4 linked regions of the Drosophila melanogaster genome follow. The protein of the gene in region 4 purifies or fractionates together with the protein of the main gene of each other region. This does not show direct contact. Each region holds a gene or a part of one and is shown on either strand. Other genes may lie near its edges. The genes, in order: Nurf-38, Nap1, E(bx) and Su(var)2-HP2.

Evidence for each region.
Region 1: the proteins of Su(var)2-HP2 (region 4) and Nurf-38 purify together in Drosophila melanogaster (affinity purification with western blotting, with the first as the bait; one study listed by BioGRID). This does not show direct contact.
Region 2: the proteins of Su(var)2-HP2 (region 4) and Nap1 purify together in Drosophila melanogaster (affinity purification with western blotting; one study listed by BioGRID). This does not show direct contact.
Region 3: the proteins of Su(var)2-HP2 (region 4) and E(bx) purify together in Drosophila melanogaster (affinity purification with western blotting; one study listed by BioGRID). This does not show direct contact.

What each region holds. Positions count from the first base shown.
Region 1 is NT_033778.4:24,557,167-24,564,848, forward strand, and holds Nurf-38 (nucleosome remodeling factor - 38kD), read right to left. Parts: upstream 3,922-7,682; 5' UTR 3,895-3,921; coding exon 3,687-3,894; intron 3,245-3,686; coding exon 3,126-3,244; intron 3,060-3,125; coding exon 2,664-3,059; intron 2,609-2,663; coding exon 2,457-2,608; intron 2,399-2,456; coding exon 2,289-2,398; coding exon of another isoform or gene 2,257-2,288; exon of another isoform or gene 1,986-2,256; intron 1,967-1,985; coding exon 1,935-1,966; 3' UTR 1,801-1,934; downstream 1-1,800. Other genes in the region: CG11414 (uncharacterized protein), read left to right, coding at 4,694-4,972, 5,031-5,176, 5,240-5,803, 5,861-7,079, 7,147-7,344, 7,413-7,610. UniProt on the Drosophila melanogaster protein: Component of NURF (nucleosome remodeling factor), a complex which catalyzes ATP-dependent nucleosome sliding and facilitates transcription of chromatin.
Region 2 is NT_033778.4:23,902,473-23,910,128, forward strand, and holds Nap1 (nucleosome assembly protein 1), read right to left. Parts: upstream 4,823-7,656; 5' UTR 4,736-4,822; intron 4,691-4,735; exon of another isoform or gene 4,572-4,690; intron 4,540-4,571; exon of another isoform or gene 4,438-4,539; intron 4,251-4,437; 5' UTR 4,229-4,250; coding exon 4,143-4,228; exon of another isoform or gene 4,057-4,142; coding exon 3,588-4,056; exon of another isoform or gene 3,525-3,587; coding exon 3,384-3,524; exon of another isoform or gene 3,347-3,383; intron 3,322-3,346; coding exon 3,133-3,321; exon of another isoform or gene 3,070-3,132; coding exon 2,842-3,069; 3' UTR 2,703-2,841; downstream 1-2,702. Other genes in the region: Lpt (lost PHDs of trr), read left to right, coding at 1-58, 120-428, 487-1,139; CG13562 (uncharacterized protein), read left to right, coding at 1,357-1,498, 1,563-1,769, 1,833-1,905, 1,958-2,133, 2,191-2,621.
Region 3 is NT_037436.4:242,143-250,252, forward strand, and holds the start of E(bx) (enhancer of bithorax), read right to left. Parts: upstream 4,771-8,110; 5' UTR 4,241-4,770; intron 4,182-4,240; 5' UTR 4,075-4,181; coding exon 3,786-4,074; intron 3,334-3,785; coding exon 1-3,333. Other genes in the region: mthl14 (methuselah-like 14), read left to right, coding at 5,859-5,974, 6,060-6,479, 6,534-6,723, 6,777-7,200, 7,259-7,335, 7,390-7,508, 7,567-7,822. UniProt on the Drosophila melanogaster protein: Histone-binding component of NURF (nucleosome remodeling factor), a complex which catalyzes ATP-dependent nucleosome sliding and facilitates transcription of chromatin.
Region 4 is NT_033778.4:14,613,617-14,621,417, forward strand, and holds the start of Su(var)2-HP2 (Su(var)2-HP2), read right to left. Parts: upstream 4,503-7,801; 5' UTR 4,251-4,502; coding exon 4,202-4,250; intron 4,130-4,201; coding exon 3,812-4,129; intron 3,745-3,811; coding exon 3,430-3,744; intron 3,371-3,429; coding exon 3,227-3,370; intron 3,146-3,226; coding exon 2,894-3,145; intron 2,785-2,893; coding exon 1-2,784. Other genes in the region: Sec61beta (Sec61 beta subunit), read left to right, coding at 5,284-5,286, 5,343-5,554, 5,618-5,705; CG12863 (uncharacterized protein), read right to left, coding at 6,217-6,946, 7,002-7,190, 7,242-7,636.

The sequences.
Region 1 (7,682 bases), 9.9 Mb from region 4:
GACCGAAAGTATTTTGCAAATGTATTACACTTACAATTTTGTGCTATTTTGTAAAGATGAAACCCTGAATTAGTGTAAATCTGTTGGCGCAAAACGGAGATATGTATTTACCTATATAGTATATAGTATATGCATACCTATCTAAAGCTAAAGCCTTACATATATCCGAATACGAGTACCCTACACACATGCTAAATATTAGAGAGAAACGCAAGATCGCAATTTGTGCAAGACACAAACAAAAACCTGGTAAAAACACGCGAAGAACGGAACGACTGCATTACAAATGTGGCAATAAATAATACATAATTAATAAAACCCTGTAAATTAATAAAGGATAATCAATCATTCGCTGGCTATTTGAGAGCATCAAAATTGTGATAAATGAGAATTAGAATGCGAATGCGCGACGCAGGACACCGCCAGAGAAAGAGACCGCCATACAGAAGGCGACAGAGACAGACAGACTGCAGCTGGCGATTTGCGCGCGTTTCTGGCGCGACTAAAAACGCCTGCTTACCGTTTTTGTTTTGGTACGTTATAATTTTCTTTTGTTTTTAATTAATTATTTGATTTTTGACCTTGTGCATTCTTGGCTTTTAACTAGCACTCAAGCTAAAAATTTGACCAACTATGCTTTACTTTTTGTTAAATTCCTCAATAATCCTCGAACTGTTGAGCTCGTATTTTTTGAGCAAACAAACAGAACAAGATTTTGAGAACAATAATTTTTGTGATATATTCAACCATACCTGAATATGGCTTTTGAACTTTGGCTCTTTTTTCTTCTGAGCAAGCTATACACCAAATTAAAAAAAATCAGGTTTCCTAATTCCTCCTCCTCCTTTTGTTTTTGAACACAGGCAAGAATGCTTCGGATCGCCCTTCTTCAACGCCTGCATAGAGGCTCTTCAGCTGCACGAGGAGATGGACAAGTATAACGAATGGCGCGATACCCTGGGTCGCAAGTAAAGTGCGATTCTCTGGGATTTTCTGGCACCGTCACTGGCACGAGCAGCTACTTAATTCTATGAACTATTAACTAAAACTATTATTATTGATAACTGTGGCAGAACACGGCACGAAACTATGGCAACCAGGAAACGATCGACCCGAGGAATGTGTACCACTTGAAGAAACAACTAAGCTAACATCTAGCTACAAGAGAAAGCAGAGCAAAAATGTTGAAAAAAAAATTATGAAGACAATTACTAAACTATTACACGCTACTTATCCGCACTTATATCGGAAAGTCTAAATTGGTCTATATGTTATTTCTATCATCTGTCATGAAACAGTCTCGTGGAGCTTTTAGTTGTAGTGAATTACGTAAATTATGCTTATTTCTTTTAGTTCTTCGCGCAGAAGGAAAGCAAAAAGTTATGCCAAGAATCAAATATGAGAAGAAACAAACAAAAAAAAAACAAGCAAACAAAAAAACGAACGAACAAACGAACAAGAATCAAAATGTCTGATGTATATAACTATTTTTGTCTTCTTTTAAAGATTTCTATACATATTTATAACGCCTAACTGATTTGTACATTTCTTTTATTTCGTAAGCTTAAGTTAATTTGTTACGGCAATAAATTTTACGTTCCACACCTTCCCACACATGCTCTCCTGCAATAGAACGGAAATCACATCTGAGCAACACCACACGGCATAATTCGATTCGATTCTATGTAGTATTGCAATGCCTTACAATTACATAACTTTTAATTAATTTAAACTTGTTTGGATCTAGTCGTAAAATATAAATAAAGATTGTATATTTCAAGAGGAATCGACAGCGAATTTGATTGCGGTGCAAAACTTTATTCAACGTACGATAATATTTCAGTATTAATAATTCACAAGTGCAAGCATTTTCGATTCGATTGGACTACAGATAGATCATGGATCTTGTGATGGAATCAGCCCAGGAGAACATCTCACTTGAGATGAATGAAATGCCAAGTGTCGACTGCAATTACAAAGGACGTAAATTGGTATAAAAAGGGTTTATTTCAGGATAACATTCAGTATAAAGTATATGTACAACGATTAACGAACGCAAGCAAGCCAATTACATAAATTGGGTTTCAGCAGTATTTACAGCATGGAGTAATCTCAATTTAGCTTGCTAACTGGACAATTAAAGTAGCTATTAGTAAGCGTGCAGGTTGTGTTTGTGTAACCAATTTGTTTGCAAGTTACTGGTGGTTAAAGCGTGTGTTGGAGTAGTGTGTTTTTGGTTGGGATCGGGTGAAGCAGCTATAAGTTCGATCTAATATAGTGAACCTTACCTGTATCAGACACCTCCTCGACCTGGCCGCCATCGGGGGCCTCGGCCAGTATCTTCTCGGCCTCCTCCTTGGGAATGACGTGCTCCGAGTTGCGGTTGGTGATGTTGGTGCTGCGAAACGGACGTACTTAGGATTAATTGTAAATGTATAAAATGGCATTTAACCCACGTGGAGATGGACCCGGATGCGGGGCTCTGGTGCACCAAGTTCTGCCAGAACTTGTGGGTCTCGGCAATGATGGTGTTGGCAAAGTCCGCATTCTTGGCATCGCCGTTGAAAGCAAACTGATTCTCAGGCTTGCCATCGGGGATCTTGTAGATCTGCGAAATGCAAAGGGTAAGAGAGGGAATCGTCCGAAAATCGAATTCCACCCACCTTGAACCACTCAACGGTGGCACGAAGCAGACCCGGGAAGTACTGGTCCACATCGGCGATATCATTGACTTTCGAGGCCAACGGATCGTTCACATCGATGGCGATTATCTTCCAGTCGGTTTCGCCCTCGTCAATCAAGGCAATGGTGCCCAGCACCTTGACCTTCAGCACGTCGCCGCGCTTAGCCACTCGGTAGCCAATCTCGATGACATCGATGGGATCGTTGTCACCCTTGCAGCCGGTGGAGGGCTCGATGTGGTCGGGGTTTTCCCAGGTCTGGGGCAGGGCTCCGTAGTTCCAGATGTAGCCCTTGTGCGGGAAGCAGTTGGCCACGAACCGCAGCTTACCCTTCTTGATGTCCTGCTTGATGGGATTCATAGGGGTCTTCAAGCTAATCTAAGGGTCAGACATGCAATTTTTGTATTATTCAGAAGTATGAATCTTAGGGACAGGCAGACCGACCTCCATTTTCGCGTTGGTCCAACGTGGCACCTCCACCACCATGTTGTAGATAGTTTTCTCCTCGTTGGCGTACAGTGGAATGTCGTGCATCGGCGAGATGACATTGCCGCACTTGTTTTCTGTGGAGAATGGCCAGAAATTATTATGCCTGATATATGGGCGACACCTGGACACGCGATTTGATTAATAGTGACCGGGGACCTGTCGGCTAGACAAAGGTCACTAATTTGCGTGCCAGTAAACCGAAATTCAGCCACCAGTTTCGATATCTGCTATTCGGAATATGGGCTAATAAAGGAAAGAGATAAGCCCAAAGGGGCCGAAACTCTTGGTGTTTCCGCCATTTCCGACGCAAGACAAATCGGATCGGCTGATAGTGCTGATAATGCGTCGAGTTAAATAAGCAGAGTCCGGTTTGACCTGTTGCATAACCATTCCGGTACCGATCAACTAATTCTAGGTGCATTAACTGCACCGAGTTTGGGTAACTTGCAAATGCGCAAGCAAAGGGTTAAGCCGGGTCACATTCACATTTGGCCCCCAATGCGCTACTCTACTCACTGAAATACAGGCTGTAGCTCGGCGAATTCTTAGCGCCCTTCTCAACGGTTTCGTACAGAGCCATCTCGTGTGATTTCGTGCGCTTCCGTTCTATCTGAATATATCTGCAATTGCTGGCAAGGGCCGCTGGTGACGTTGGAATCGAGCCGGACAAGCGACCAACCGCACGTGAAGCGTAAAATGAACTCCTTGTAATTTTCGCCAACATTTTCTTCAGCCCTGAGTTGAGTCTATCGATAGGGCGATAGGACCCGATTTTACAGTTAACAGTGCTGCTCAGAAAATGTATAGCTCGATTCCATTTCATCCATTCCAATGGAGAATGAACTTCATTTTTTCATACAATTAGAACTATTATTATAAATATTATTATATGAAAACTATAACATTATAATTATTATTATTAAATATAAAATACAATATTGTAATTATAATTATTATACAAATCTATTTACAGTATAAATAAGACAACTATCAAAACCTTAAAGATTATTTAGTTTTTGTCAAATCGTAAAAACTTAAACAAAATATGCTTTGAATATGTTCATACCTGCAGAAGAAGCACTTAGAAATATTTTAAAAGTTTCATATAAGTGATTGAATTTTTTATAAATTCGAAGTCAATAGGTTTTACTTGTACTGGTTACTGATCGTTGCGAAATTGTCCGAATTCTGGTCATGTTAACTTAACATTAACAAAGCTTCCAACTGGGAACTATCGGTGCTATCGGGGATCCGAGCAGTGTCATCGATAACATTGGCAATCGAGTTTTCTAAATTCTGAGTTTTCTTTTCGTCTGTCGTGTGTGCGTGTTGCCTTGCTTTCGAGTTGGCGTTGCAAAAATTCCCCTTTATTTTGCTGACGAGATATTCCAAAAGAGTAAACAAACCGGGGGATCCAAGAAACCCCAGCTTTTATCCGAAAGCAGTCGTTACACGTACATTTTCAAGTGCCCGTGGCAACAAGTAAATTCCCCCCCTCCATTCACTGCAAAATCTCTAGTGAAATGCAGAACGGAAAACCGAGATCTTCGGCCAGGCCGTCGTTCCACCGCCGTCCCAAAGACGGAGTGGCCAACACCACCACTGATAACGCTGCTGTCAAGCCGGAGGCCTTGGAGAGCTATACGGGCAACGACGACAACGCCTGCGTGGTGTGCTTCAAAAACGTGGAAATTTTCTCCATCGGCGACTGTGATCATCCCGTGTGCTACGAGTGCTCCACTCGGATGAGGGTTCTCTGCCAGCAGAACGAGTGCCCCATCTGCCGCCACGTCCTGTCCAAGGTAAGTCCTGCGCTTGTCTAGAGAACCGAATCTCTATCTAATTCTAAAACACTTGCAGGTTTTGTTCACACTGGACAAGCTGCCCTATCGCGAACTGGAGGCAAATAACCGCTCTGATTTATACAGCAAGAAGTACCGCATCGGCTTCTGCACCGCAGAGATAAGACAGCAATTCTTCAAATTGCTCGACCATCCCTGCCCGAAGTGAGTATTCTGCCCGCACTTGAGTTGCACCATTGAGGCTCACCCTTCTACGCTAAATTGCAGATGCGATGCACCTCCATACCGCACGTTCGAGGGCCTTCGCAACCATGTTCGCAGCGAGCATAAACTTCTGTACTGTGACCTATGCGTCGAGACCCTCAATATCTTCACCTTCGAACGGAGGTGCTACACTCAGGCGGAGCTGCAGCTACACAACACCAAGGGCGATCCGGACAATCGGTCGCATCGCGGTCATCCGTTGTGCGAATACTGCAATAAACGCTATGTGGACCGTGATGAGTTGTTCCGTCATTTGCGCCGCGAGCACTACTTCTGCCACTTTTGCGACGCCGATGGTTGCAATGAGTTCTACAATGACTATGCGGATCTGGCGGAACATTTCCGGGCGGAGCACTTTCTCTGCGAGGAGGGTAAGTGCGCCACCGAGCAGTTTGTCGGCGCATTCCGCAACGAAATCGAGTACAAGGCGCACGTGGCCAACGTGCACGGCAAGTCGCTCAACAAGCAGCAGGCCAAGCAGACGCGCACCTTGCAGGTGGAGATCACTTTGGGGCCTCGTGGCCGTAGTGGGCAGACGGAGCAGGGCATAACCAGCGTGAGAACCAGGTGAGTGAGCGGCCATCCAATTTGAAGAAGGCACTCTTAGAATGGTAAACCTTACAGGAATGACGAGCACAACGACTACCAGAACGATTTGCCTTCGATCACCCAGCGCCATGTGAGCATTGATGCTGGCAACGAGGAACAGTTTCCCACATTGAGAGGCGCTTCCACAGCTCCCAGCGTATCCTTGGTGAGACCGCCACCGCCCTCGATGCGCAATCTTAGTGGAACTTCTGGTCTTGCTCGGACCAAAGAAAACTTCCCGGCTCTGGGAGGAGGAAATGGAGGTGGTGTTACTGGGCCCACTAGCAGCAGCATTGCCGCCCGGGCTGCTCAATCGCAGCACCCCGTGGCAGCTGTCTTTAAGAAACCCACAAGCGCGGCAGGTTCTGGCAGTCGAAGTGGGCCTCCCGGTAACGGAATGCTCCTGCATGTGTCAAATCGATCAGCAGCCGTGCCCAAAAAGGCAGCCACGCCGCAGGTAGACTTTCCTGCATTACCGGGTAAGGGGAACAAGAAGAATCTGCGCAACCTGGAGGAGGATATGCTGCCTAGCGGATCGCCAGTGCCGATGGCGAACATCTCCGCTAAGCATCGGTCTCTAGCCGATGACTACGTGTCAGTGGCTAGCCCGAGCACCTTTCAAAAGCTTCAAATGGTACAAAAGGAGGAGGACGAGGCCAAAGCGCGCCAGGAGGCTTTGAAGAAGAGTGCTCCCAAACTCACTGCGGCGGAATTCCCTAGCCTCGGACCGAGTGCCAGCGCCAGCTCAAGCAGGACGACTGCTCCAAAGCCCAGCAGTGGATCTCCTTCATTGAACTGGTCGAAACCAGCTAATGAGAAGAAGCAGCGTGAGCTGGAGAATCGCAAGGCCAAAGTGGCGCCGGCCCCGGTTCTGCCGAGTCCAACATCGAAACCTGCTCCCAAGGCAAGCAACAACAATGTTCAAGAGCAGCAGGCAAATAAAAAGGATAAAAAGCAGAAGGATAAAAAGAGCAACCAGGAGAATCAGCCTAAGACGGCCAAACCGAAGGAGAGAAATAATAACAACGAACAAAAAACCAATGGGGCTCCGTCTACGCCAATACGTGCTCCTCCCGGCTTAAAACCTGGCGGACCGCTAAAGCCACCACCAGGATTCGTGTCCAACGTGACTGTTAACTCGGTGGCCAAGCTGCCCAACAATCTCACGTTCACCAATTCGCTGGGCGAGTCGTATGACATTGTACCCAGCCCCTATACGTACACCGATCCACCAGATACCGAGGTCAGGAATCAGGTAAGCTAACGTCGTTTGCCAATTAGTTAGAAAACATTAACTTAAAAAGCATTTGTCTTGCGTCCAGAAATTGGTTGATGAGGTTATGTCCCTGCTCAAGACCCCAGAGGCGTTGAACGAATTCCGCTTGCTTTCGTCTAAGTTCCGCGACGGATCCTGTTCTGGCCAAGCCTATTACGAGCACTGCCAGTGCGCCATGTTGAGCTCATTTTACAACCTGTTCCCGGAGCTGCTGGCCATGCTGCCGGACATAAGTAAGCAACAGGTAAGACCCGTTTGCAAAACCACATAATAGTAAATAAAGAGTAACTCCATTATTTGCGCCATTTCCAGGAACTTTACCTAGTGCACAAACAACACCTGAACAGCTTGCCGCCCGCCGAGCGCAAATCCGTGCCCGCGCTTGAAGTTTGCAAGGTGTGCAAACAGATCCTCATCACCGCCGACTTAAAGAGCCACCAGCAGGCGCATGAGCTGACCAAAAACTTCCCCGTACTCGGAAGCTCAGCCTCTAACACGCACCGCAATTGAGGTGGTCGGATTGTAGGACAACAAAAGCTTTATCCCTGTATATTTTCTATGTACATATATACCGTGTCAACC
Region 2 (7,656 bases), 9.3 Mb from region 4:
ACGGAAACCCTGAACGCTGGCACTCAAAAGACGGCGGAGAAAATGCGCAAGGATGAGGGTATGAGGGTGCATTTAAATAGTGTAGGATTCAAATGCTCATCACCCCATTTGTTTTGCAGATCTTGGGCTCATGGCCACCATTTCGGCCGTGCTGTATGCCAATACTGAGCATCCCAACCTGAAGGAGTTGTTTCCGATTTGGAACGACCGCTGCAAGCAGATTCTGAAGAGGTGGCGCTCGCTGTGCAACGAGAAGAAGGCGCCGTTCTTGCAGAAGGCCAAGGACAATCGCTCAGCACTGCGGCAGAGGCGGGAACAGAACAAAATACCTATGCCACCGAAACCACAGAAGCAGGAGGAAATGGGAAGAGTGTGGAAACAACCGCCCAAGCTGAAGGAAGACCAGCCGAACATGTTTGTCACGTACAGTAAGTGCTGCAGCTCAAGACTTGTTTTAGTTGCTCTAACCCTTGTTTTTTCGTCTAGATGGAAACGCCTACGATATGGGCAACTATGTTGGTGGCTCGGCGCAGGCAGCGTCCAATAATCCCAATCCGCATCACGTGATGCCGAACGTTAACGATAATCTGGTGATTAAGGCCACGATGCAAAGGACTCAGGTGCACACGACAGCAGCCAGCACCTTGAAAATGACCACCGTGGACAATAGGCTGGAGTTGAACACGGCGGTGTACGGCACGGAACCCATTGGCGACAAGAAGCTCAGGAACCTGCTGCAGAAGAACAGCACGGAGCCGATGCTCATGGGGGCCAACTCGGACTTGTTCTTGGGCAACGATGTAATGCGGCTGGGAATGATGCAGAACACACCCATTACGCAGAACAATCCCATGCTGAGCATAAGTGGAAAATCTCAGCCATCTGAAGGCAGGTCCTTGGAGCAGGATGTGAAGTTGGGCGAGCCGCAGGAGGCAACCTCTTCCGCCGTGGAGTTGGAGAATGTCGGATTCAGCGACCTTCTGGGAGGACTCGGCGAGGGCGACGACGACGACCTACTCAAGTCGCTCACTTCCGAAATGGGAGACGACTTCAATATCCTGGAGTACGCGGACCCAGAACTGGACGTCAATGTTCTCAACTCCCTAGATTTTGATGACAATGAAAAGTGCTCTACATAGGAGAAGCGGAATCGTTTAAATTGAAATAAAGAAAATGCAATATTTAATAGAAAGCGCCACTTTTGAATGCAGCCTCTTTTGGCGCCAAACCCCATTCTTCATCGATTGCCGTATACCATATCGAATTTGTATCTCTTCGGCACAGAAAACTGGTTTTCTACGCGGTTTGCACTGTTGTTACTTTTTATTTTCAGCTAACCATCCAGATGACCAGATAATGCAGTTGTTCAGTAGTTTCCACTCAATCCTAATTGTTTGCTGTGTTCTCTTAATTGATGGAACGCACTCGAAACTGAATCTTAAATATGCCATTTTGAGGCAAAAGCAAGCAGCAAAGGCAACGCAAAATGACACTTTGGGTATGGATGTGGGAGAAAGTTTCTGCTGGACGAGCGTATCATGTCGATGTTTTTGTTTATGAAGCCCACCAGCAGAGAATCAAATATGATGCCCAGAAGACCATGAAGGTGATGTTCTACAAGAACAACACCAAAACCATGGAGACTTCGGCCTACGACGATGCCTACGATCTCAGTGGCTCGGGTTGCTCGCCCACGGACAAGTTTGCCATAGTTCTGCATGGATGGATCCAAAGTTGTTCGGACGAGTGGGCGCTGTCGCTTATTGAAAGTGAGCATTTTTTGCATTTTTTTCAATGCCAAAGTTGAAAGCTACTCGAAATATGCATTTTAGGACTCAGTTACTACCGCGGCGGATGCGTGATATGCATAGACTACAGTGTGGTCGCCAGTTCCTCGTACATGCGGTGGGTAGTAGTAGTAGTCTGACCCCAAATTCTCATTATCCGACTTTTAAAGGCTGTACACAAACTTTGACACCCTCACCGGCGCCATATCGTCCATTATCCTAACACTGTTCAGGCAGGGATTCGATCCAAAACGAGGCTATATGTTTGGCTTCAGCTTCGGCGGACAACTGGCTTCGGCGGTGGGAAGATCCCTACGGCCACACCACATTATCGAGAGCATAGACAGTCGGTATCTTGAGCGTTATCTTAGCCACACCCAGTAATTATTGTATTGAACTGCAGCGTGCGATATGGCCGGACCCGGGTTCGATCCCATTGCAGTCGACCACTCCAAGGCCGGCAAGCATGTGCAGTGCTTCCACTCGAGCCGCGACAAGGGCACCTTCGTCTACTCCTGCCACCGCAACATAATGCTCGGCAGCTGCGGCCTCAAGCAGCCCTCGGTGGCCAGTCAGCTTCACCTGGGCAGCCATGGTCTCTGCGTCGACATATACATCAACACGTTCGACTATCCCTTCTACGCCGTGAACTACACACCGCCGGAGTGCTTCACCTGGCAAAAGACGGCCAAGATACCAGATGGCTACACGGTGGGCTACGAGGAGAACTTCGACAGCCAGGTCACGGGGCAGATCTTCGTGCCCACTAGCCTGCACTACCCCTACAACTTGTCCAAGAAACAGCTAAAGCTGCTGACCAAAGGCGGTGCTTGACTGAGTATTGGGAGAAAACACTTGGTTCAAGAATAGCAACCTCAGGAGGCTTATGTTTTTTAAATCAAAGTCAACCATATTCTAATATCATGTAGGTTTATTCGAGTTCAGCTCATATCGTTTGTAATTGTTGTTTTTATTTTTATTCACCAAAAATATATTTCAAATCAAATTTGAATTATGTATATACATTACACATGTGTAATCCAGCCACATCAACCTACTGATTCGGGCAGTCGTTGGGCGACTGCTTCTTGATACCGGCTGATTTGGGGCCCTTTGGTGGCGGTGCATCGTCGTCGTCGTACTCATCCTCCTCGTTCTCGTCATACTCCTCTTCGTCCTCATCGTCCTCATCGTCGACGATGTCGCCAGTGTAGTAAAGCACTGCTTTTGGAATAATTCTGGCGCGCAAGAAGTGACCAATTTCGAAGTCGGTGGCCAGGATCTGCGAGGAAGCGAACACGGATGAGCAAGTGGCCTTGCGGAAACTGTTGTTGGGTGAGCTTACCTGCTGGGAGTCGTCGTCGACTTCCTCCTGGTCGCTCGGGACCTCTGGTGGGCTGAAGAAATTGAAGAAGGAATCCGTCGGAACCTGCTTCACAATGGTGCGCACTGCGCCGCGCTCCTTGTGCTTCTGCTTCTTGCGGATGGTCTTCACAGTAAGGTTCATCTTCTTCTCCCAGTTAATGGTGCACCCCTGTAATTGGTTTTGTTTCGATTAGAAATCCCTTGTTGCCCTCGAGAGTGCAGATAGCTCACCGTGCACTTGTAGATCTCTGGGCCTTCAAATGCGAACGGATCGTTGGGATCCACGGTGGACTTCAAAACGTACTGCTTTGTGAGAACTGAGTTGGAGAAGTACTCGTTCTTGTCGAAGTGAAACTCCAAGGTGTACGAATGCTAATGAATAAAGAAGCGGTTTAGACGGGCAGGACTACTAGAACTATTGGCCAGCAAACTCACCCCGTTGTCGTACTTGATGGAAATATCGATTAGCTTGCGGATGGCGGGCTCGTCGTGCGGCTGCACCATCTCAGACATTATGGCCGTGTTGCGGAACACCGTCAGCCAGAAGCCGGGAATGCCCTTGGCATCCTTGGGAATACTTTTCAAACTGCTCAGGGCCTCGCGGAAGTGCTCGGCATCGGCCTCGTTGTCGGTCGACGACTCCGGTTCCTTCCACTGGGGCTTCTCCTCGGCGGGGTCCACCTTGCCCTCGATGATCTCCCTGCGCTTATCGAACAACGGCTGGTACTGCACCTGGTACTTCTGCTCCAGCTTGTAGACGTCCTCAAAGAACTGGGCCTCGATATTCAGGTGCTGCAGCTGTAGGTTTTTCAGGAACACAATCCGATTCTGCACTGGAGCCGGCAGCATCTTGACCATTTGCTGCAGATACTGTCGCCGCATGACCGAGTTCATGTAGGCGGGCCTGAAAAGTGGGTTGTGTGTGTCATTCCCCTGATTTTTTGCTTGCTTTCGCTTGCCAAAATGTTGCCACCCCCTCTTTCTACTCACATCGACTGGCAGTCCGAGCCGGACTTCTCGTCCTCGATTTCGTTGCAGGACTCGGGGTCAACGTGTCCTTCGGCTGGGGCGTCCATTGTTCAATAAATGCTGATCTCACTGCAAGATTCTCGATTAGTGTCTGTTGGCAATTGTTTGCACCCCGAAACGTTTTCGCAAGTGATGTACAGACTGATGTACACATGTGCACATGCATATGCATATGTGCACATTCTTATACAGAAAATTCCCACTGCGCTGCCATCCCAGACTGGGTGCACTTGCGAAAAGGGAGCCGCATATTTACTCGAGCAGCTGAATTTCACAGACTATATAGCATATTCGCACCGATAGAAGGGCGTTGTAAAAACTAATACGCCATTCGGCGAATCTGCCTGCGTGTGTGTGTGTGTGTGTGCATGTGCGATTCAATCGAATTACCATACAACGCGCTTTTGCAAAACACGTGGTGGACCGAAATAAGCTCGAATGTAGACGAAATTCGAGGGCTATCGGCAACTTTGACCACTGTCGCGAGCTCCCAGTGCCTGGCCGGTGAGTTGGCCCCCGAATTGCTGTCAATCAGTCAGAAATTCGCCACTTACCTTCGGTTAGAACAGACGCACGATGAGCACCGCCACGAAAATGTTTAAAAAGGAATGCTGCGCTTTGGCGGTGAGGGGTCCATTTTCTTTCGAAACGTGCTATTTCATGACAGGCTGTGGTCACACTACCTTCCCAGCCGAGACGCAAACCCTCCCAGTGCAACAATATTTTTAATTTTTTTTTTTAATTTTTAGATAATAATTTGAATGTTCTATTTACAAGTTGTACTCGCATAGCTAGTTAACCTGCACATTTAAAATTCATTTATTTGTTAAACAACAAGCAAAGCCTCACCTTTATTGCACCAGATCAGTAATTAGTTTAATCGTTGTATGCTAACTAATTTATTAAATTTAATATTTTTTAACAAACTGAACTTTATTTTCGAAATATAGCGGTAAATTTTAAGAATCGAGATGCTTGTGATCCTGAATTGCCTATCGATACTATCGGCTAAAACAAACCAAATAAAACAGCTGTGGCTTAAGTTATAACTATATTTAAAATAACTTCGCTTTAAAATAAAAGCCTAAGTTGGAAAAATATAAACATTCTGAAACGCTCCTAACAAATCGGATTTCTTATAAGACGTCAAGCAAGAGATTTGGATATGCTCGCCCAACTATCGGCTAACTTAGTAACTACTGAATTCTAAGCAATTTAAGGATTTTTGCCAAATAAAAACACAGGATCAATGTTATTACGTTTAATCCGTTCCCATTAACGGGTTTATTGACTTCTTTAGCAAAAAAAAAAAAAAAAAAAAAAAAATACGTTGCATGAATGTACTGTGCAAATTTGGAAATTATACCAAAATGCGCCGTTCTGCAAATTAAAAATATTTTTAGGGACCCAATATATATATGTATATATGCATATGAATATAATATGTATTTACATACGTACACCCACATCGGCGCACATCAGATGCCCATAGCCCATATAGCCAATTAGACTCTTTTCACTGCCTTGTAAACTTAGCGCGGAATCAGTAATTTTATGCGTTCACGGACGCCAAGGCGGAATCATCCATAAGATGGTATCATGGGTGCTAATTGCAATAAACATATCTTGGGGGACGTGTTTTCCAAAATACAATCGCCACTCGGCGTCCCCTATGCGTTACATTTGATTTCAATTGGACTTTTCATTAATACTACGCTTTCCCCCACTCGCGATTCCAAAGTATATACGGTGGAAAATCATTTTGTATTACTCATGCGCCTTTAATATGATAGTTTTATTTTATTCGTACAATTGAAAAGTTCACCCACATCGGGCAGCAGGAGTCGAAGCCCCCAAAAGTAAACACAATTCTACAAAGGACGTTTCCGTTGGCTCTGCCCAGCACAAGTGCATCGGATCGCATCACATTGGATCGGATCGGATCGTCGGTGAAGGCGAATTCCAGGCGCTTGCCCAAGTAAATCGAATCGAGTGAATCCGCTGTCCCCCAAAAGCATTCCCGCACGAGTGTCCGGATGTCCAGTGGCTGGCCTGGGCGGGCACATCCTCGGGTTAGATAACACCGTCCAGTCCATCCTGTTCCGCCACCACCACCACCTCTGCGTATGTACATATGTACATGCGTGCGTATGTGCGTGTTTGGATGTACGTATCTGCATGCACCTCTTTGTGTTCCACGTACATAGCCCCGTATCTGCACTAATCTATCTGCCCCCTGTTGTGTGTACGCGGCTGCGACGGCCCAATCGATGGGAACAGATTTGTGCACTTATCAGCGCGCGTGTAATGGCCTCCACCTGGGCCAGCTGCCTCGTCTGGGTTCGGGATGAGCCCGATCTCGCTGAGAGCGCCACACACATGCTCGCCTATCAATTCGTCGCTGCGGGTGGGGGCTGGAATCACGGTGGCAGGGTCAGGAAACCGCCAAAACCGTTCCCACTCGACGTCTGGCACATCGCAGCGCATCTTGTGTGTCCCAAGTCGTGCCTTATGTAACCAAGCCGGTGACATAACACCGCTGAGGCATACTAAATGGCACTAAATGGTCGTTATCTTAAGCTCGCCGCTCACAGCTCGCGGCGAGTGCGGAGCGATTAGCGCCACAGATCGGAAACAGCCTTTATCTCTGCCCGAAAGTGGAGCATACATCGCAGGTGCAGTGGCCCATTTCGGCCAGACACCCACCAAGTTCGATGGTCATGTGATAGCGGACTACTAATCTCATGCAAATAGTGCGACTCACTAGATACCTTCGATCACGGGTTATCACACCAGTTGAGGTGCGGCAGTAATGATGGGGGCGGACTAACCGTCTTAGTTATTTGGTGGGCTTTGCAATTCGGAACAGAAATGTTATCCTTATCTTGGGAGCTTATGTGAATTCGGAACCAGCCGCACTGGACTAGCGATCGTCGGGAATGCTTTTGATCGCTAATTCCTAGCCGTGCCCTCGGCAGGGTCTCCATGTTAGCAACGACGATACTAATGTCATTCCCATTTCAGAGTGCCTTACATCCACAAATATGCCAGATAGATTTCAAGTTACAAAGGCTGACGAGGACACCGCGTTGGACTACAACCAGGATGAGTCTGCGAGCGGCAAGCTACTGGGGGACATCCACGACGAAACCCTAGGTGAGAACTATGGGTCGTACGATGGTAAGGATGTTTTCATTTTTATTTGTGCCACTATTATTACTTTAGTTTTACTATTAACTATAAGAGCTCGTTTCTTAATATATACTTATACATACTTAGATAAGATGTATACATACACAAGAACCATTAACACTGAAGAGATTGTGTGCAATTTCATCTGGTCCTTGCTGAGTTTCGTCCCATCAGCACATTTCGCCTGCTCACCCCCAGGCACACGCATTTCCCCTCCCATCGAGTGACTACTGTATGCCCAGATAGAGCTTACGGCCCTGCAATCCTATCCTGTGCTGCCCCA
Region 3 (8,110 bases), on a different chromosome or scaffold from region 4:
CAAATGTCTCTCGTTCGTATTTTTTGACACATTCGCGCTTAACCGGACGTGCAGTAATAGGAAATCTGCGGTTCTGTTTGTTAAGTGGTATATCCTTGTCTAACGTCTGATCCAACACATCTTTAGTGCCGATGTAGCTTTTTTTCGATTTCTGGTTACGCTTTCGCCGCCATCCAGGTGTCATATCGACATCTTCAGCGTTACCAGAGTTTAAGCCCGTAACAATGGAATCTTCGGTACTCTCAATTTCAACATTACTACAAACGTCCATACTCTCAATATAGTCTATTTTATCGGAGTCTTGTGTGTTCGAGTCAGGAGTTGTATTGCATCCGGAACTGGCATTCACCTCTTGTTTAATTTTCGTGTTGGTTACGCACTCCTGGTCAACCAGGATGCATTCGGTCAATAAAGAATCGCTAAAAGGAACGGCGTGCGCTCGTGCATGTTCCCAATCTTGAAGTAAATCCAACGGCGCTTCGGATTCAGCTGGCTTCCCCTCTTCAGAATCATCCACGGCCACCTGAGTGGATTCTCTTTTACCCTCCGTCAGCTTCTGCTCGAGAATAGATGGCTTTTTAACAGCGCCCAAAATAGCGGCAACTGTCTCTTTTGAGCCATTACCGGCAGTATGCGCCTTTCGTAACAACAAAAGAAGTTCTTTTTTGGCCCGAGCTTTTTGAAGACATAAGGGAGAGTAGCAAGTATTTTGGGTTATTTGAGAGACAGCATTTGAATTGGTGTTACACTCCTTTGTATAACAACGAAAAACTTTAGCAAATCGATTAAGCTGACTAAATTGTAAGCGCACGGTTTGAATTTGTTTAGCCAGCGAATTAACAAGTTCCAAGTTTACGTTTGCAGGACCCCCCTTTGCTTGGACTTCAGTAAGGCGAAGTAAACGCTTCTCTAGAAACGTTTGTTTGCTGTTGGCTGTATTATTTTGGGAAGAAACAAGAAGCGGCTTCATATCAGAAGGAATTTTAGAAGCCATCTGCTCCTCGACCTCGGCCAACTTTAAACGGCGATCCAATAAGTCATCTAATCTAGATTTGCGAGCCACTTTTGAATAATAAGTACGGCCTGGAGCATTTAGCGCTTTGCTGACGTCGATGTGCCCTTTGATTTTCTCCGTAACATCTTCTATAACTTTCACATTTTTATATTGGTCCGGTAAATAATGACACACCTGACCATCGACATTGCTTGACTCACATTGTTGCATAAACCGTTGGGTGCGTGGGTCGACTAAAATAATTTCATTTACGTCGTTTTCCTCTCCCATGGTGTAATGTACGTAGACTCTATTGTGTGTTAGAGGTTGGGCTCGACGTGCACGAACACCACAGCGTCGACTGCTTGAGAGCCAAAGCCAGCCCCATTGCCCGTGGACCCGGTATTCTTCTCCTTTTTGCTTCCAGACTTGATGTTTGAGACCCAGGGTATACTTTATGTAGTTAAATGCTAAGCGATTACGTTCTTCCTCATCATCCCGCTCGCGCTTCTCTCGCTTTTCTAGTTTTTTTCGCTCCTCTCGTTCGGCACTAGTTATGCGTTGCAAAGTTGTGTGTCCGAGTTGCTCATGCCAGACGTTGGCAAAAACAACGCTCTTAAGGGACGCTTGAAAAAGTAACAATACTACCGCAAATTCAGAAGGTCGACGGGCGTTCATCACCGCAGCATTCCAAATTTTTTTGTTAACTACCCAGTTAATATTTAAAAAGGAAGCTGCTATATTGGATTCGAAGTTTATCAATGTTTGCCTTAGAGTTGTTATCATATTGTCAGTAGTTCCCATGGTTATACCGATCCATTTAAAGTCAGAAGCCGTCGTTAACGAGAACTTATGGGACAGATGGCGTCGCTTATCTCGCTCCTCGTTTCGTTGCGGCTTGTTGAGTGCAATTGGATTTGTTGAATACTGGTTGACATAGTTCTTAAATCCTTGCTCCATGCCAAGTTTAAAATGCAAAGTACCATTAGTCAGCTGATTGGATTTTTGACGCGTGACCATTTTACATTCTTCTTGTTTTTTTGTTCCCTCTATAGATTGACTCTCAGATTTAGCATCACCATCTTTTTCATCCTCGTCAAGCACCTCTTTCTCCAAAAGTTCATTTTTAGCCTCTTGTTCGATTTCGATAACACTACGCTTCGTGTGTTTGTGTTCATTGGTTAAGGTCTCAGTCAGTTTCATTTGGCGCTCGATTTCGTCTCTCCTTTCTGTAATCTGGCTATGCAGACGAGTTTCCAGTTCTTCGGCGTCCAGTCGACTGAGCAGCAATTTTAACTTACTTGTCGTACTGTAATACCAGCATGTAAAGTTCTCCTGATCCTCGATAAAAATGCGACGTGCAATAAACCAATATTTGCGCCCATGACGATCAACACCGAGGCTATCATGCCGGATTAGCACGCCTTGTTTTTCTTGTGGCAACACGCAGTCCACTACGCCACTTACCTTATGCGAGCGGCAAAGCCCGCACTGCCAATCCTCAGTAGGTACGTCATTCATTGGCGGGTCTACACATTCCAAATGATAGACAGCAGGGCACGTCTCGCAACATAATAAATCACCGAGCCGATGGCACACTCGGCAATGGTCATCATAATGAATAGGTCCCTCCTGCAGCATTACATCTCGTATAGAATTGGAAGTTAAAAATTGATCTGACAGAAACTGGAGCACTTCAAGCCGGTTGTCAATGCCCGTGTAAGGGTATTCAGTGTGGCTTAAAATGTGAAACACGTTGCGATCAAATGTCTTATCGCTTTCTACATAGCTTCGCAAAACTTCCGGCCACGTTATAGAGTCAATCAGGTAAAGACTTATATTAACCGTATCTTTTTGATCCAGCGGGCCAAAATGTGTACCCTGCGCGTCCTCTTCTCGAAGAATCGCTTTAAGCAGCATTATGTGTACCTCCGTCAATAATGCACTTTGCTCCTCACAAGCCAGCGCTGCACACAAGTCTTCAAATCGGAATGGTGAAAGGCGGACCATGTGGCGAAATCGTCGCAGTACTTCATAGATACTTAGCGCGCGCAAAACGTGTGTATTAGCAATGAAAAGATCCTCCGACGAGTCCGGCAAATCAAGCGCTGCATACTGACGACCTTCCTGCAGCCACACAGGTTCTGGGCTAGGAGGACGTGGCGGCCGACCAACTCCATTTTGGTTAAAGCTGCACACGGAAAACTCTGATTCGCTCTCGTTGGCTACTTCTAGGCTCTCGTCGTCGCTGGGAGTAAGCAGCATATCATCCTCATTATCGGATTTATCTTCTTCGGAATCCCCAAAATCTGACCCGTAGTGATACTCCGACTCGTACCCTGAAAAGAGGAACAGTAGCTCTTAGAACCAATATGATTTCACCAACACCTAAGTGCATAAAACCTGACATACTGTCACTGCTATTGTGGACCCAATTTCTACTGAATTGTATTTAAGTAATTGTTATTAAACTCATGCCAACTAGACTGAAAGATTTTTTGTCGTAAGATTTCAAAAATAATCGTTGGTATTAGAGCAGATAGACCTATCGAAACTGACTCGCCCGGTAGTGGTTGTCACGAAAATATTAAATTTGATCTTTTATGAAGCGGAAGCTCTTTAACGCACAGGAAAACTCGTTTGAAGTATGAGTACCATTCAAAACGATCAAAGTTTTCTCCACTGCAATCAATATATGGCACATTATGTTCCCTATTAATCTTCGAACTAGTCAGAGCGAAACTGTAAGTCTTGACTCCCAAGTTAGAGTTTAGGTGCCCCTTTAACCCACCTTTCCTTCCAGAGTAGCTACTGGTGTTCGGTTGCACGGCGGATTTGCGGCCTCGTCCCCTCTTAGCGGCGCTCCCGCGACTGCGATTGGTGTGGTTGTTGTGGCTGCTCCTGCTGCCCTCGTCGCTCTGTGGAGAAATGCCCCTGGATGCCGACGGAGTGCTGGGCTGCGACTTTCCCTCGCTGAGATACTTCGGCTTCTTGAGAAGCTGGTAATTGAAGCGTCCTGATGCGCGTTCGTTGGGCGTCTTTGGCGGACGTCCACGTTTACGGCTGCCGCGACCGCTCATCTTGTTTGTTTTCGCCTTGCGTATTTATCTGGCTGTGTGCAGGGGTGCGTGGGGGTACTCTCCTCAGATATTGTTCCAAGTTAATGCTGCGAGGCTGCACATTAGATCTGAAACGAAAATTAACCCATTAGTACACGGTGCCACAGGAACGCACACCGCATCTCACTCGCACTCAGCTAGCTATGTATTTACGGGGCACATTCAAACACACATTTACTCAACAGCGTATGTGGGGGAAAAATCGATCAGATCGTCAAAAGTTTGTCGTTGGGTGTTCACTTTCTTTGTATTGCGCAAATTTGGAGTTGAAAAAAACCCGCCAAAAGAGCTTGTTTAGTTCAGAATAACGGTTCCGATTAAATACATTAAGTACATGTATTCAAAACACATTCTTGGCTTCTAGTGTTGGACGGCAAACGCACTGGACAGCACCACCAAGTTCGATTGTATGTGTGCGAGTGCGATGAAATGAAGCCAACGCACATTGTCCGCCATTTAAGCAACCGTGAAAATTTTTGCGTCTGTTTAAATGTCACTCTTCTTTCACAATTAACACATGGATTAACTGCGCAAATTACCCAGCATGTTGCGGAATAATTGCACAGGATTTAACACGATATATTCTAATATTTTTAACTATCTTCAGCACACTGCGAAAGAGACTTTTACCTAACATTACAGTTTTGAACATAGCTAAAGACGGTGTACAGTCGGCCAATCACAGCGACTCTTCTATTGCGTGAAGTCAGAAGCGTCCTCTTGCGGTCGGCTTGGAGAACTAATTCTTTATGGTTGCACAAACGATATAGGCAGGGTTGCTTTTGGCATTTACGCTGAACCGCACTGACAGATGTATTTTTATTTTTATCGACGTGTTGAGCGGGCGTTTAAAGAAAACCCGTTAACTTGTAATCAAAATAAACTTACCTTTGCTCACTATCTTAAAAATTAAAACGGTATTTTTGATGCGGTAAAAAAAATGTATTTTTTTGTAAATTTATTTTAGTGTATTACATTCTACCCAATTTCGCATTTTAAATCCTGGTGATCTCATTTCGTAAATTGCCGACCACGAAAAATCCATTAAAAATGTTATCGATAATAAGTTGCCGTTACGATTTTTTGTTTACTGGGAAAGGTTTTTATATTATTATTACTTAAATTTTTTAAAAAATTATTCTAAAAATACTAAATTAAAGTATTTTAATTGTGTTTGTTGAGAAATGTGTTATTGTTAAAGAAATTAGGGTAAACAATTTGCTTTGAAGCCCTGAAAACATCGTTATCTTATCGCCTGCACAAAGTGATTCCATTGCAGAATTAAAACTTCTTTTTCGCTAGTATTACTTTATTAATCAAGCTCAGTGGTTGCATTTTAAATAGCAAGCATAAATTATTTGACATGTACGTAAACAATAATTGCCATAAATAGTTTATTTTTAAAAATACAATAATTGAATAAAATATGATCTAATCAAATAATCAGTGCGCAAAAATTGACATTTAACGCGGTTTTGTATAAGTTGATGAGTGTAATTTTCCGAGTATTGATCAATTCTAAGGAATGTGCTACCACATTCGTCTGACGTCATGTGTTATATTATGATAACGCACTCTACTGGTATCTTACACAGATAAGATAGCCCATATCTTACCAGTTCCCACACCACCTAACTAATGTCAAAATTTGGTTTGTTTACATACTTTCTGTGTAAACGAACTCGGCAATTTTGTTTTATTCATTTTATGCTATATATTTTTTGTAGATTGGTTGAAAAGGCAATATGAATCTAGGCCACTGGAATTTTCTCCTAGCTCTAATCAGTTTACAAACGTTTTTTAACGCCTCCGCACAGATAAGCACTGTAAATAACAGTTCGAAGGGATCAAACAACTCAAAGTAAGAAATACTCAAAATATTTGTTTTCGAAAAATACTAATTTTGGAATCTTTGCATTTTCTATAATATATTTTGCTTTGCTTAGTATTTTCCATGAAGACACATTCAATAGCACTTCGATTGACGTTCTGGACGCCTCAATACATTCAACACTGGTTGTACCTCAAACATATTCGACAGAAGCTGCAACAATATCAGGTGCTAGGTTCGCAACCTCTGTTCCTGTTCAAAGTCCTGTAGACAACCCGTTAGATCCGGCGGACTGTTCTCAACGGGAAAAGTACAGAAAGCAACCAGTTGCAACACCATCGTCTCGTTTAAGAAAATGCTGCCCACATGGAGAAAACTTAAATATATATCGGGAAAATCAAAGCGATTCGATGTGCGACAACGGGCTCTTAAGCTTCGAACCGACTATAATAAGTGCAGTTCTGTTCGATAACTGCATTGAAGATTTGGAGGTTGAGACTACGCTCGACTACGACATTGGAAATCCGTGCAACAGGTATGAAAGCGAATGTTAAATTGAATCAAAGTACAAATTCTTCTGCAAAATTAGTTCTCTTTTGTACGACGACAAAGACGATGTTTTCTTTGTTCTGCAAGACGGTTCGTTATTAATCATCGACAAATTTGGCAACGAATCATACACTGTGAAGGAACATTATTGCTTGGATATTGATAAGTCAGGACACTTGTTTGCCTTTACATGTGTAACCCAAGTGGAAGAACAAATTGCCTTCGCAAAAGTAAGTCAATGTAACATTATTTTCTATTTACCAACGGATGAATATTATTTCAGGTCGTTTTTGTTGCCGTTCTTATGCTTATATCTATGCCCTGCCTGCTATTAGTTAGTTATTTGCACATGACACTTCGTTTATTGCGTAACTTGCATGGTCTCTCGCTAAGTTTGATGTCTCTGTGCTTGGCGTCTGGATACTTTGTGCACTCCGTTGTGCACATCTATGGGATCCCGAACCAAGGGTTCATTGGCTACGTCATACAGTTTTGTATTTTAAGTTACTTCTTCTGGTACTTGTGCATATGCTTCAATGTTCTTTTGAATGTGTGGTACAAGTTGCCTTGCTGCATTCAATGCTCAAAGAGTTGGGCCACCTTTAATTTTGCGTGTTACGCTGTTTTTGCCTTTTCCGGACCGGCCACAATAGTTGCACTAACTGTTCAAAAAGGACTCCCAGGAATGCCGTCTTACTTTCTGCAAGGCAAGTTATTGACTTTAATAGTTAAAAGTATAAGTAGTAACATATGTATTATTTAAAGGCCTAACTGAATCCATCCGAGATTCCCAACGTTACTTTATTCCTCCAGTGTCTACTATACTTTTTCTAAGTTTTTTGGTAAGCACTTCTTTTCGTACCTGTTTTTTGTTTTATGCAATTGTACATTCTTAGCTTAACATCATATCGTTCTTCGGATTTCAACGTATAAGCGGCTACGCCAAGGCTGAAAAAAACATTCAGGAGCGAAAATGCTTGTTTGACCAACAAAAATATGAAGATGTTAAAAAAGAGTGAGTGCAGAATTATTGCAGTCCAAACACATGCATTTATTTTAATTTTTGTCGTTAGCGCTAAATGTGTCAGCTTACTTGGAATAATAATGGTCGTTAGCTGGCTGCTCGAAATAATAACATTTTACTCGGGATCGAATTCAAATTACCTGATACTCTGTGACATGGTGAATGGACTCCAGGGAGTTTGGGTACTGCTCATTTTTCTAGTCGTGCGCAGGCGTCGCACAATAATATTAAGGTGGTGGTATGATCGTGGTTCCCACGAAATTGAAGGCACAGAGCTGCAAGCTCTTAGTAATAGTCCCACATAGATATATAGAATTATAATACAATTACATTACATACGTTCAAATCTGCGATCGCCGTTAATATTACATTATTTTTTAATTATATTAAATTCTGGTTTATTTGACCTGTAAAGAATGATGTGCTTATAAGCAAATCAAATTGATGAAAAGAGAAAAACATTCGAAAATTGCTGAACAGCTGAACCTGATATCCTTTAATAGAATATATGTTGTTGCGGGCCACATTACCGAACCATTTCCCAAACATATTTGTGAAAATTTAACTTTGTGTAAATTGTGGTTTATTTAAAC
Region 4 (7,801 bases):
CGGTATCTCTTATAGTTGGATTCGAGTCTCCGCCTTTGCTTAATGCATCCAAATCCTTATCCTGATCTTTCATGATTTTTTTGGGACTGGATATTGATGACAATTTCGTAAAAGCTGACTCCTTTTGATTTAGCCTGTCACTCGGTTGCATTGCACTGTCAAAACTTTCATTACTTTTTTTATCGATTATATTTGTGCTACTTGACGTTTCCGTCTTGTCAAGTGGACCCACTACCGCTTCTTTTTTGTTACCAGATTGCTCTGTTTTTTTATCCTTCTTAGAAGGGTTTTCATTTAAAAGTTGTTTTCTTTCAGTGGACTGAGATATGGCGGATGGGCTTTTGTCCTTTTCGGATTTGGCCGCATTAATAACAGATTTTTCTTTACGACTTAATCTGCCGGAGTTTCGCTTATTCTTAGCAGTGACAGGATCACTTTGCTGAGTCTCCAATGTACATTTAGGTCGCATGCTAATTTCCAGAGATGCATTCTCCGCTTTCTTTGCATCCAAATGGTCGGAAAGTGTGTCCGTTTCAGTTTTGAATTTTTCATTTCGAATCCTGCGCGATTTTCTGCGATTTGATCGTTTTTCCTCAACTTGTTCCGTATCAGTTTCAATAGCCGTGGATTGTTCTAAATCCGTATTGGTACAATCTATTTGCGGTTTTGGACATAATAACTCCTCTTTTTCGTCTTTCTGTTCCGATTCACTAGAAGTTAAATGTTCTTCAACACATTTTATGGAAAAAATAGAAGGTATGTCTTCATTGGAATCTGCTATTGCCTTCTTAACTTCTGTCTCACTGGTCCTACTCATCTTTTTTGCCTTCAACGGTTTACCCTTCAACTTCTTCATTTCAGTCTTACTAGAGCTAGGATTTTCATCCGTCAGTATGGAAGTATCTGATGCTGTAGTGGTTTTGGTTATCTTTACATCCTTAGTTTCAGACGCATCAGGTAGCGACTTCAGCTCTATCTCTTTTTCCTTATCTATTGTTATTAAATCTTTGGCCAACTTGGAGACTGTCACTTTCTTTTCCATCGGAGAGCGTTCGTGTGAGGAATGACTTTCCGCTGGCGACCTTCCTAGTCTCGGACTGCTTCGTCTCATTGTATCATCCATAAGTAGTGTGAGCTCGGTTTTCAGTGTCCGCTTCGACCGACTTTCCCTTAGGTTTTGAGGAGTTGCTTTATCAGACCTAAGCGCTCTTCGCGGCACCGAACTTTGCAAAGCTTCAATTTCTTTCGATTTCTTGGGGGTATTAGCTGGGGAGGAATGATTTCGTTTCTTGGATGGAGTGACTGAGCTAGACGGAATATCAGAAACAGACAAAGATTCGGCTTTGGGAGCTTCATTGTGTTCTTTGTCATGCTGTTGATTTTTTGCTACAGGTGTTTTCTGTTGTTCAATTGGATCCTGGTCAGGAGCAGGCAAGTTTTCTTCTGCAGGTGGTTCATCCTTACTAGAGGATGGTGCCTTAACTGGAGACGGTTTTTCCACTGGATTTTCTTTATCAGCTAAAGTTTGGTCTTCGACTGAAGATTGATCATTCTGAGCGGGCACGACTTCCGAAATGGTTTCTTGCTCTAACTCTTTAACAATTTCAATGACTGGATTTTGTTCTCCCTGCACAGATGTCACTGATACCTCGTTGGCTTCAACTCCCTTACCAACCTCAGCGGCTAAGATCTCTTCAGCCAATTTAAAATCCTCAGCAAGTTGGGAGTCGCTTTCCTCAACAATATTTCCCGCTTCTGCCTTGGCTTCAGCCTTTTTAGCTGGTAATTCAACTTCATTAGTAACTATAACCGAGTTTTCATTGGTTTCCTTCGAATTGCCATTGGGAGATTCCTTCTGAGTTTCCTCCTTATCCTTATCCTTATCTTCCAATTCAATATGATTTTTTGCACTTTCGGATACTTTGCTTTCGTCCAGTGCAGTATCACTAGGTGTGTCCACTTTACAAAGCTGTTCTTCTTCGACCTTTGGCGTGGACTCAGACTTATCCAGCGCAACCCTGTCCGGAGCACATTTAAGATCCGTTTCTTGGTGATTTGACGCCATTTCAATATCATCCTGGGGTAAATTGGTAGATCCTGTGAGCTCCTTGGCATTGTCCAAATCGCTAACTAGTTCATCCTGTTTTATTGGCACTTCTAAATTAACCGTCTCCGTTTCCGGATTTTCTTTGCTCGTATCTATTGAGAGAGGAACATTTGTGTTCAAGCTTTCAATTGTATTTTCAGTCTCTGCTGTTTTAGCCTCCTCCTTTGGAATAATTTTGCGAGGCCTTCCGCGTTTTCTTTTGACTGGCTCTCCTTCCCCATCCCGGCAATTAGCACTTTTTTCCTCCATGGTTGCTCCACGGTTCTTACGCTGCTTTTGGCCACGAGGGCGACCTCGCTTTGGTAAGGACTCGCTCTTCGACCGACGCAACTGGGTGCCCAAAGGTTCCGGTTGATCCAGTCTTTCGCTCGAATAGGTTAGCTTTCGCACGTGACCCAATTGCGAGGTGCTAGAATCTGCTGGAATCTTAGATCTGGATAAGCTACGCGACTTTGAGGCAGACCGCTTTTCGAACTCGTAAGATCGCTCCACATCGATCTCCATGATTTGCTCGGCCAGGTCGAGACTCATGCGCTCCACAGCCTCAAGCGTAGCATTATTAGCTACGTCATACAGCTTGCGACTACCGCTAGCCTTGCTGGCCGAGGATTTCGCACTGCTGCTCGCCTCCGGTGGCTCCAAATCCCGCTCCTTTTTATTAGCCTCTTTGTCACTGGCTGCGAAACAAAAAGCAGAAAAAGTTACAAATGTAAGGGTGTAGCAGAGGTAAGGGTTCACGAGGGCGCTCAGAAATGGACGCCCCAATGGACGTTGGTGCACACTTACCCGCTGATTGCTCATTAGCATGCTTAACCTGTTGGGAAGAAGAGGGTTTCTTTTCGTTGGAGCGGGATTTTCTCGCACTATTCTGTTTCTTATAGATTGGCGGCGGCTCGGCGGAACTGAGATTACTCAAATACGACTGCAGGCGTTCGTAGGTGCTGCTCAAAAAAGACTCCTGATCATTCGCATGACGCTGATTCAGCTCACTCTGCGGCTCCTGGCCCTCGTCGTCGGAAACAACAGGTGTCACAGTGTCTACACGGTTTATGTGTGTTTACATATTATGAATATTATCAGAGGGTTGGCAGTATCAACTAGTTAATAACGCTGACTTACCCGCCACCGATGTGGTCCTGCTTGTGTCCGTTGAAATGTCGATCACCGGCTCATCCTCTTCATCGGAGTCTTGATCGCCGTAAAAGTCCGATTCATACTCATAGGACGAATCGCTGTCAGAGTCCCCGTATAAGTCACCCAAATCTATGGAAAATACGAAGTGGTTATGCACAGCCAGATATGTAGCACAATATCGAACTTACTTAATGGATCTGTTTTGGGTTCAAGCCGCGAAGGCCTTAGATCTGTTTTTTGGGGCTTTACAATGGTAACGGTCTTGTTTTTGCCGGAAGCCCATTTATCACCATTTGCAGATACTGCTGTCTTGTTGGCCACAGAATTGGTTTTCTTGTTTTTTGGACATGCATAAGTTTGCCCAGATGACATGGCAATGTTGCTGCTGCTGCTATTGCTAATGCTTCTGTGTGGGGCAGCATCTTGTGACTTTTTGGAACCTGCCTGAGAGGTACTGGGCTTGGGTACGGTCAGCCTGTGCGATGGACGCATTAGGGCTTCTCCTAAGTGTAGGCATAAAGTAAATGTTATTGATAAAATGCGTCATTGAAACCATTGCGAAATGCCCACCTAGGTCGTCCACCGAATCGAACGACTCATACCGTTCGCGCCTCTTGCTCAGCTTTGACTGGCTGCTCTTCCCGCAGAAGAGGGCTTCCAAGGCATCGTTGGACTCGTCGCTGGAGGAGGGAGATGGGGGGCGTCGACGCCTGTCCTGCGACTTCGAGCCAGAGCCCTCCTTAAGCAGTTCGTCGTCGAGGTACTTGCCATGGAAGAGCTTTTGGAAAATGTCCGCATCAATCGACGACGAGTTGCTCGAGTCTGATGAAATGCGCCGCTGCCGCGGAACGCCGGCAGAAGATGCTGTCGGAGCACTCGATTTAATCCCTGTGCGCGCGCAAAGTAGACAGACAAATCACATTAGAAGTATTTATAGCATTGGAAGCTGAAATCACGCACCTGGCAGCACCAAGTCTTTGTACTCGTCTAAATATTCAATGTCCTCCATACTTCACTTTTCATGTGCGTCGGTCGATCGGTGGATCAATTTGCAATCTTTCAACTGCGCCGCGTCTTATCTATTTCCATTAAGGCGAATCGCGAAAAGTTTGTATGACTTGGCATTCCTTTAGCAGAAGGACCTCATATACCCATTAGCGCACAAATGCAAGCACTTTTTCGTTCTTTTCACCGCAAAATATTCCTTTGAAATCCAGCAAAGATGATGCCGCTGCAATTAACGTGAACGTTGTACAGATGTGCAAAAATGACAAAAGCGTTTAGTGAGCCCGCGCTTCGGTGTGGCCGTTCCGATTAACAATGTTTAAAACACGGTGCTTAAGTCACTTAATAATTTTTAGTGATTCGCAGTCGAACCAATACCAGTTAAGCAAAAATATTATTTACAAATTGTTTGGTGCGCGCCAAGAAAATTGCGCTTGCCCAGCTAAAATCTAAAAATAACTTACATGCAAGGTTGCACATTATCGCTATCAAAATCGATTTCATTGATTTTCTATATATTCTATATCTATATGATCTATTAAATGCGTGATTAAGTTTTTATTCTATATAATTATATAGTTATTAAGTATGTATTATATAATTAAATCAAGGGAAATCAAGAATAATAGCATTTATTATCGGAGTTTTAATAATAGCCAATTATATTAATAGGATTCATTCAAATTGATTTAAACAATTCATTTTGTAGAATTAATATTTTATCTATTATTGTTATCTATTAAATTCATAACTTGAATATATTATTTCTTCGTTTTTTTTTTACTAGTTCATTTTAGAGCCAAAGCAGCCGATAGTTGAGTTGCCTTAGCCTGTCATCTCCAGCTGTCTAAGTGCACGATAGCTGTCACCTCAGCGTCACGACCTATCGGCAGCGGTGCCACCACCAAAGTGACGTGGAACGAAAAAAGACGAAGCGACACGAAGCCGAGCACGTCAGATTCAGATTCACGTTCAGATTCCACTTCGCCCGTTCATATTTTCCAGGTCAGTCGGTCCAGAGGAACAGATAGCCCAAAATGGTGAGTTAAACTAGATGGCAATTGAGTGCGGCAACTAATTAAAACACATTTGCCAGCCCGCTCCAGCCAGTTCAACGTCCGTGGGCAGCGGATCGCGCTCCCCCAGCAAATTGTCGGCGCCACGTAGCGCCGGATCCGGAGGCGGCAGCACCCTGAAGCAGCGCAAGACCACCACCAGCACCACAGCGGCCCGGAGCCGTGCACCCGGCGGAGCCGGAACTGGTGGCATGTGGCGTTTCTACACGGACGACTCGCCCGGTATCAAAGTGTAAGTGAATAACTCGGCTATATTTATATTAAAGGCCCAGTGCTAATGAGACTTTTGCTGCAGTGGTCCCGTACCCGTGCTGGTCATGTCGCTGCTCTTCATCGCTTCCGTCTTCATGCTGCACATTTGGGGCAAATACAATCGTTCTTAAGCCATGCATTTCGTAGCCAATAAAATACTTTCACCTCAACGAGCGTGAACAATGTCGACGTCATCATTTCTTTTGCGGCGAGATAAGAAGAGATCCATTCCGCTTGTTGAGGCATTGGTGTGTTTCCACATGAAATTAATTATACCTAAGCTTAAGTTAAAAACCTGTTTAAACGTAATGCATATTTTCAAAATTTAATCGTTTTCCCCCAATCCGTTCGTTCATCCGGCGGGCTGAGAATTCATTCCACAATTTATCGTGGTCATGTGCATCAGAAATTCCGCGCGCAGCCGTTGCAATTCAAGAACTTGTAAGACATTCAACGAAAAGTGTTAAGAACAAATAAATTTTGTATTAAACAAATGTGTGCCCTGTTGTTTATGGATGGTAGTGAAGGTTTTGTCAGTGTTGTTCTTATAAACTGCATAAATGCATACAGTCTAAAGTGCCCCTCAGTATATAAAGAAATGCAATTTGTATTTATCTTTGTACATATATATTTGTATGTATCTTAAAGACACTGAATTGTTGTTTCGTTCATAAAACACTGTTCCCTGAAGTATTTTGAGCGGTACGAGCATCGCTTTTCCCTGTGATTTCGTTTGCCGCACAAAAGGCAGCCTTTGGTATAGTTCGTCTTTCTCTTGCGGAAGTTTGGGCACTTGGTTTCGATATGGCCTTTCTGGCCGCACATCCAGCAGTGTTGTTTGGTCTGATAGAAGGAGCAGTTGTGTCCCTCCTTCTGCGTGCACCTTCTACAGTCGGAGCAATGCACATAGTTGGGTTTCACACAGGCATCGCAGGACTCGCAGTGCTTGTACGTTTGGCCATTCACCGAGGGGCACTTCCCGCAGCGGTTGCAGTGCAGGTTCTCCTTGGCAGTGTAACAATCGCATTTTTGGCAGTACTTATAGCCCTCTTCAGGGGGCAATTGAAGAAGTCGCAGTGGCACGTTGGTGAACAGCCTCACGGGTGATCCACAAAACCGACTCTGCTTGCCCACATTCGTATATCTAAGGTGATTAGTGTAATTGATCCTGTATTCACACATTTCAAGCTCAGGCATTTCCTGCCTGATGTGGTTAGCTGAATAATAGGGATATATCCAGAATATGGACAGTGGAGTGGATGGCAATCGGTTGATTTGATTATGCAGTTTTCTAAGGCTGCGCAGGGTGTGCGAAATCAGTTCAGTGCGACAGCCAAATGGAGGATCTGTTACAATCACCAGTCGATCGGAACTGGCAAATGAGACATTTTATAATTGCGGTAACCATCATATAATAAATATATTACCTGGTACCTGCCAGGAATTGTTCAAAGGGCGTTCGATCGTAAAAGAAGTGATTATTGCACATATTGTACAGACAGAACTCTTCAGGACCCAGATATTCGGCAAATCTCTCATCCAAATCCAACAGAAAACTTTGCAATTTGTGTCGCAGATGGAAGTGTAGACGCGGTGCGCCCATGCATATAACCTTGCTGATATAACTAGATTAGAAAGGGCTTAACTAAATTGCTGGAATTACCCACCTAGCTCCTATATGCTCACACTGATTTGCCAAGAAGTTGAGCGCAGCTTCATCAAAAAAGTATTGGGCATTGACTTTGTCCTGGGAAAGCGCTGTAAGGCTTAGTGTGGGATCACAAATGGCGGGATTAGCTGGTTTCCTGCATGGCAAGGGATAGTCCCTTTTGGTGAGTGCCGTCCTGGTGGTCTGACCCTTCCACTGATCCGCTGGCAAGTGATAATTGCAGAGTTTTGAGTCCCGATGGGCTGAACAGGCATAATAACCCTGGTCGGGAAGTTGGGATTGTCGGTTGAACAAAACCGTCGGCCCGTGCTCGCAGCGGGGGTGCTGATCCTCGGGAGCAGCATCGTCTTCCTCCATTTCAAGCAGCAGCTTATCGCTTTTATTATCAAACATTATGCTAAAACGTTTATTTATCGTGAACACCACCACACTGTCAACAAGCCGGGGAAGAAGAAGAGTGAGCTCCGGCAGTATTCAAAATGTAAACATTCAACTTTTATTTTAAAAATAAAACAATGCGATTTTTTAATATACCATTCCTTTTCAGTTTAAATCACA